2 linked regions of the Canis lupus familiaris genome follow. The protein of the gene in region 2 interacts with the protein of the main gene of each other region in a pairwise test. Links are inferred from orthologs where the notes say so. Each region holds a gene or a part of one and is shown on either strand. Other genes may lie near its edges.

Region 1 (3,976 bases), on a different chromosome or scaffold from region 2:
AATCCCACATCGGGCTCCCGGTGCATGGAGCCTGCTTCTCCCTCTGCCTGTGTCTCTGTGCCTCTCTCTCTCTGTGACTATCATAAATAAATTAAAAAAAAAAAAAAAGAGTGGTTGTCATAATATAAGCTATGAAATATTATGAGATATACCATATACATTCTACAATATTCTGTAAATGATTTATCAACTATGAAATCATACACAACCATATTTCTATTATGACATCTTATAAAAGGAAAACTCAGTAGTTATTTTCAATATGATCATAATATTAAAATTAAAGCAATCATGAACTTTATTTTTTTTAATGTACAACTATAATTTGCTTCCTCTTCAGATCTGCAGATCCTTTTTCAGTTCAACATCAACATAACACATTTTTTAAGTCTTTTATTTTAATTCCAGTATAGTTAACAGTTTAGCACTATATTAGTTTTAAGGGTACAATATAGTTATTCCACAATATAATCACACTTTAATCTTTTTCTAAAGATTCAACTAGAAGCCTTTAAGTTAGGAGGAACACACAACAGTAGAATAACTAGGAAAAGGGAGAAATTTTCAAATTTTGTGCCAGTTGAAATTCTCACATGAGAAAATAGTACTTTCATAATAAACTAATAAATAGAAACGAAGTCTATTAGCTAGAATTCAGAAAGTAAACTAACATTGCACAAGTGTCACAAGAGGCTACACATTTTGAGCACTCTAATTTCCTATCATGAATCATGGATACAGTATAAGATTAAATATTTGCAGTATTAACATCCATGTATGTTAAATACTTATTATTAAATTTTCTGACAGAAAAACATCCTTAAACGTTTCAGCTAGGAATTCTATAAATGCAATAAATGCATGATGCAATAAAATGATTATAAAACCACTGGGAAAAGAGCTAGTTTTGACTTACAAGTTTGGCCCCAAAAGAAGAGTCATGAAGAGCATGATTACAAATTTCTGCCATAGCCAAGTATCTCCTGTGATAATTTACCAGTGGAAAATTACTTAATCATAATTTGTGCATAGAATGTTTTGGACGTGTACACTGAAAAAGCAGGCACTAGATCATTTTAAGAAATGTTATTAAAATATTTACAACATACTGAGCTTATGTGTAATCCATGGGAACCTAAATCACACTTAAAAACACTGTCTCAGCGTATAAATATCCACTTCCACTCAAATATCCTTCCATAAAGTGAACACTGGCAATGCTTGACAGAATTTTGAAATCTAAACATTTTTCATTACTAAATGCAAAGGACACAATTTCAAAACTTTTAAACACTGCAAAAAAAAAAAAAAAAAGTCAAATGACTATTAAGTACTAATCATGTGCCAGACAAGGATATTCATTTCTCTCACTTACCTTGGTATTCCTAGCACAGATCCAAGCATATAACGTATATTTAATTGCATTTATGAAAAAAGGAATGAGTATTGAGAGAGTTCAAAGATCAAAAACAAAAAAAAAAAAAAAAAAGTCCTAGCCCTCGAGGAGGTTACAAATCGAATTAGGAAACATGACAAGCACAAGAAAAGCTAAATAACATACGACAATTAAAAAATACCACGTGGGCAGAGTACGATTATTCGCAAAGTCGGTGGCAAACAGAGTGCTATGAATTCTGACTAGAGTTAAGGTATTAGGGAGTGCGGTCCTTCTGGTCTCCCAACCAGACAGCAACACTGCATCTCGATCTAAAAACAGAGAGTAACACAGCACTCATCCCACCCTAAAATTATCGCAAAAGGAAGGAATACAATAACTAAAGAGAATGATACAAAGAAACTGCCTTGAAATAAAGCTAGAACATTCCACACACGCACACAATCGTTGGTTGGATCCCAGGATCTCTAAAAGCTCTCAAAATACAAGTCTCTCGGGAAGAGCGTTTCTGATTCTTTCTTCCTCCGTCCCCCGCGAACATTTCCACTGGACAGCTGCCCCAGAAATTTCTCCCAGCATCCGCAATGACAATACTCTCATCTTTCCCTCCCTCCCCTCGCCTGTATCAGACGGTGGCATCTCCCTCCAGAGGAAAAAACGGAGGGCGGGGGAGGCAGTATAGGAAGGAGAGAATGCTAGCAGCGTGGCCGATTATTAGAGAGGAGGAAGGCGAGAAAGACGCGGGGGTCGAGGGTGCGGTCGCCTCGGATCCGGCCCAGCCTCCGGGTCAGGCCAACATCCCCCCCCCCCCCCCCAGGGCACGCCCCTCGCCCGCCAGACCCGACCGAGCAGGCGGCGGACTCGAGTGACAGCCCCACCACCTGCGCCGCAGCCCTTCCCCCAGGCCCGTGGGGCGACGCCTGCCCCTGCCCCACCAAGAGCTGCCGGTGGCTCCTTCCCTGCCCTTCCCGTCCACGTCGCCGATGAGTGACAGGTCCCGGGGGAGGCAATCGCAAGCGCACGCCGTTCGATACTGCTGGCGCCAGCCTGCGCCGTACCCTCCAGCCCGCACCGCTGGGGGCGTAGGCAGAGCGTTGCGGACGGCCCAGGGGGACCCAGTCCGGGCCTAGCCTGGCCCAGTTGCCCCACACTGGGCGGGGGTGGCACTTACTGCGGAGATTGTGGATTAGCTCCGAGTGGCTGGCGCCGCCGGATTTCCAGGCCATCGCTAAGCACACCCGGAGCAGGTACAGAACCACCTTCAGCGCGGCGACGGTGCCCAGCAGCTTCCCCAAGAGTGAGACCACCTCCCACACGGTCACCGCCCCGCTCGCGTCCCCGCTGGAGTCTCCGCTGTGACTGCTGTCGCCGCCGGTGCCGCCACTGCGCGCTCCCGGCATCCCCCGCGGCACGCATGCGCTCTGTGACGCTGCGCGGCCTCGGGTGCGGCGGGGTGGGGCCGCAGGCAGGGGTGGCCTCGTGCCCCGCCGACTGCCCGGGTGGCTGCTGCGGCTGCTGCGGACGGGCTGGGATGGGAGCCCGGGCTGAGTCAGCGCCGCCGCCGCCGCCGCCGCCGCCGCCGCCGCGTGCCACCCCTCTGAGGCCTCGGGCTGCGCGCCGCCAACTTGCTGAGCTCGCCTGCGGCCGGACGGCGTGGGCCCGAGCGCGGTCGGTCGCGTGCCTGGCTGCGGCCTCGGTCGCCCGGCGCGGTGGCGCTATGGCGCGGTGGCGCGGCGGCGGGGCCGGTGCGTGCCGCCGCGTCTGCCGGATCTGGTTACGCCGCTGCGGCTAGCTCCGTCGTCGCAGCTGAGTCAGCTGCCGCGAGCCGCGGGTCTGCTCCTATAGCTGTGCGGGTTGTTGGACGCTGGGCTTCCTTCGTGCCGCCTCTCCCAACCCACTTGTCTAACGTTTAGGTCGGTGAGAGTCAGAGCTGCGTACGGCGGAGCCCGAATAATCTTAGAGCCAGAGGGCAAAAGCCCTTTCCCTCCCGAGCACGCGAGCCTCTGCGCTGTGCCAAGTCCGTCGGTATTTGGTTATAGCAGAGAGCTGGGGACCCGGGTTTGTTGCAAGTCTCCAGCGCAGCTTCGGAGAGTGGGAGGGCACCACGGCAAGGGAGGGCACCGTGGGGGTGCAGCGTGGGAATGCTTTCGGCTAAAATTAACACGGTATCTAATGGAGAATGCGTTATTCTCCGGACGCGAGTGTGCATTTTCAGCTAATTAATCCCCACAAATGCCACCGTTAGACTGGACACCAGCTTTATCGCTATCAGCCCTGCAAGACAATGAGTGAGAAGCTGACGGGGAACATTGCCCGTCGCCTCCAACTTGCTGACTCCTAATCAGAGCTCTGACAGAATCCAGTCATCATTTACTCCAATAAACTGTTAAGAAAGGAAACAAAGCAACGTCAAGACCTCTCTGCACTACCTCGTGAGCAGCGATTTTCAAATTCCAGTTCTCACCGGATTTTGTCAAGTGTAACACAGCCAACTACCATTCCGAGACATACTTGTACATTTCCTGTTTTTTTTTTGTGACATAAATGAAACCACACTCAAAGCACTATTCTTTAAGAGAC
Region 2 (3,512 bases):
CCACAACACTCACCCACCACCCTTGATGAGATTGAGATCAGCATCTACTTCATCAGCACCATCAATTGCGAGGTCAATCTGTGGGAGGAGAGAAGAAAGATACAGAAACTACTGAGAGCCATTAGAGGGGAGGCTCTGTGCAAAGCTTGAACATGTAATAACTCATCAGATCCTCAGCAGCCCTATTAGTTAGGTAGAGTTATTCCCATTTAATCAGTCAAAAAACAGGCTCTGAGAGGTTAAGCTATTCCACTAAGGTCCACTAAATATGGAGCCTGGAAGCCACACATGGGTCTAGTTCTTACCCACATTACACTCCCTTTTCTCATTGATAGGCATCTCTGTGGATGAGCTAGAATTATTAAGAGTACACAATCCCAATGTGGGTGACATCACCCCCAAGTACAGAAAAGATACACAGTATACCTGTGGTATTAAAATTTCACTGGAGGGGGGCAACAGAAAAAAGGCCGAGAAACACTGATTCAGAAGTCTCCATGCTAAAGTGGCAAAAAGAAAGGCAGTTTCCAGCACAGAGAGAAAACCCAATGAAGAGTTATAAAGCTGACACACATTTGATCTGCAATTGGAAATTATCTGAGGCACCCTGACTATGACCCCGCCAAAGCACCTGTCCGGGCATGCCCACTCCCACTATTAGGAAATTCTACCACCAACCCCAGGAGCAGTCAGGGGCAGGTGGGTTCATTCATCTTTCAAGATCTGAAATCAAGGAAGCTAAGTATTTCGTGACACTCCTGGACTCCAAGTAGACAGTGTGGGAGTCTTAAGTATGGTTATTTAAAGCAGCTGTATGAAGAAACCTCAGGGTACAAGTCAGTTTAAGCTGCCTGGCATGGCACAAGTATAAAGTGCACAAAGCTTCAGCTTCACCTTGTTTCCATGCTTTCAGATTCTGCTCTTTGTCTGAAAAGAGAGGCTATACTGCTTCTCCACACCCTGCGCTAACCCCAGGGCCAGGCTACATCATGGCAACTCTTGGGGCCTGGAAGGCTGCAACCTTCTTTGTGTGAGTTCCAGGCCTACCTTCAGCCCAAACCACTCTTCTCACAGTGCTGAACACTGACTCACACTCTGCCCTGGCTCTGCCCACAGAAATCCCCCAGTGAGCCCTTCCCATGGTTCTTACTAAACTCTCTAAGGCCCACGTGTACCAGGACAACACAGACTAGTAGACCATCGGGTCCCCATCTGCAGTCTGGTTCTCAAGCTGCCATAACCCCTTTCCACTCTTCCAGTCCAGCCTCTCCTCTCCCACCATGCACCAATGCATACCACTCACTCGGTCCTTACCACTCCAGCCAGCCTGGGGGTTATCCACATATGCCCAATGCCCCTGGTTCTCATCTACTCCTCTCTGGAATGCTCTCTCCTGCCATGGCCACCCTGCCTTCACAGTTCTGCTCAAACTTCACCTCTCCCCACAAAACCTAGTAGCACTGCTCTAGAGCCAAAAGCATCTGAATTCATATTCAGGCTCTACCAATTACAGAAAGCGTGGCTTTGACAAATGACTTGCCCTCTCTGTCTTTTTCACACCTGTAAAATGGGGTAATGATGGTATGCACCCTCAAGACTACTGGAGATATTAAGTAGTTGAATACAAACATAGTACTTAGCTAGTATACAGGAAGGGCTCAGTAAAAGCTAGTTGTTAATATGCTGCTCACTCTCATCAAGTTCAGTTTCCTCTGAATTGCCCATGTGTTTAATAACCATCTTTGCCACAACACTTAATTATAATCTGTTTGCAAATTCCATGGCTGCCTCAGATGATTACTTCTTATCTCCACCTAGTGGTAAACTCCGTGGGCTGGCTCACTCATACCTCTGTATAAGGATCCCCGGAAGCTCTGGGTCCAGCCCTGGGTTTGTCCAATCCCCCTTCACTACACTCATACTGAGCCCTCAGGGTTAAACCACGGGGAATGTACTGGAAACTAACAACCTCTCCTCTTGTGACCTTAGCCAAATTTAATACTCAAAATCCCAGGAGAAAATCTAGTATGACTCACTGACCTTTCTCCTAGACTCAACAAGATATCCAGAGCCCATGAGCAAGTGACAGCCATAAGAAAGGATGAAGACACAGCAGCCCAACCCTCTCTTACCTCTGGGTGTCGGTCCAGGTCACTGAGAGTCAAGCCATATTGCAAGATGAGCTGACGGGCCTGTGGAAGACAAGAAAAAGCACCATAATCATTTACTCTGAGCACGTGGCAAAGATTCTCAGCATTCTTTTGGATTTCAGTGTCTGACACACAGTCCTGAACAAGGCTCCCTCCTAAATCCAACTGGGTCCACTAAGAGGTAGGAGATATAGCTCTATAAATGGCAAAACTAAGTTAATTCATCCTGGGAGCCAGAAGAAGGCAAACAGCACACAGTGAAGGCTCCCAATGCCAGGCTAAGAGTTCCTTCTCTGTGACCTGCTATTTAAGACAATGTCATGGACTCCTAAAGCTTATGGTAATAGAGTATTTAAAAACAAAACAAAAACAAAAAAACAAAACAAAACAAAAAATCTTCCTAAAATAAGAACTGAATTGATACAGAGTGATTTCCAGGCTACCATGTTGAATGAAAATAAGCAAAAGAATATATACACTCAGCAGACTGTATCAAAGGCAGGATGTCCAGAATGGCTAAATGAGCTCAGCAAATTGAGAACACCACACTGGGACAGTCCTAGGATTCACTTTATAGACATGCCTCATATTAACAGTTCAAAGGGTCTGACAAAAGGCGAGAGCAGTGGTTACCACCACCATGTGGCCCTGAGTGGGACTGACAGCTGAAATAAATATACCTTGAACCTTGGAGGTTGACAACCCAAAGCCAAGTGATAAGGATCTGTATCCATGTCATAGTCTATAATATGCAGAGGTATCAAAGGGTGGAAAACTTTCTTTCAAAGGCATGTCTTAAAAATATTTTCTGCTTAAAATGAAAAGCACCCAAGATTAAAAATCAGAAAATCTCAGCTCTAATCTCAACAAACCAGCCACATGACCCTTGGCAACTTTTCTTGTCTATAAAAAGATGGGGATGGATGAAATGAACAATGCCAATATTCAAATCCAAAACTGTAAGATTCTAAGAAAAAACTACATAGAGCCTGGAATTTGCAATATATAGGCCTTCCTAGGATCCTAATTTGAACAAACTATAAAAAATACTTTTAGGGACGTCTGGGTGGCTCAGTGGTTGAGTGTCTACCTTAGGCTTAGGTCATGGTCCCAGGGTCCTGAGATCAAGTCCCGCATCAGGCTCCCCACAGGGAGCCTGCTTGTCCCTCTGCCAGTGACTCTGCCTCCTTCTCTGTGTCTCTCATGAATAAATAAATACTACCCAAAAAAAGTACTTTTAAAGGATTAGATAATAGGAGAAATTTAAACTATGTGTTTATGTTACCAAAGATTATTGTTAAATTTTTTGGTATTACTGAGATGTTTAAAAGCCTCCCTAATTTTCAAAGAGACATAATGAAA

What was found.
Region 1: the proteins of RPIA (region 2) and PCMT1 interact in binary tests that used the Homo sapiens proteins (3 or more experiments, as listed by UniProt). The two-hybrid records come from large-scale screens. The link is inferred for Canis lupus familiaris from reciprocal best matches to the Homo sapiens genes RPIA and PCMT1.

The regions. Positions count from the first base shown.
Region 1 is NC_049222.1:40,757,508-40,761,483, reverse strand, and holds the start of PCMT1 (protein-L-isoaspartate(D-aspartate) O-methyltransferase), read right to left. Parts: upstream 2,812-3,976; 5' UTR 2,797-2,811; coding exon 2,568-2,796; intron 1-2,567. UniProt on the Homo sapiens protein: Initiates the repair of damaged proteins by catalyzing methyl esterification of L-isoaspartyl and D-aspartyl residues produced by spontaneous isomerization and racemization of L-aspartyl and L-asparaginyl residues in aging peptides and proteins.
Region 2 is NC_049238.1:38,101,790-38,105,301, forward strand, and holds part of RPIA (ribose-5-phosphate isomerase), read right to left. Parts: intron 2,332-3,512; exon of another isoform or gene 2,193-2,331; coding exon 2,133-2,192; exon of another isoform or gene 2,052-2,132; intron 79-2,051; coding exon 14-78; intron 1-13. UniProt on the Homo sapiens protein: Catalyzes the reversible conversion of ribose-5-phosphate to ribulose 5-phosphate and participates in the first step of the non-oxidative branch of the pentose phosphate pathway.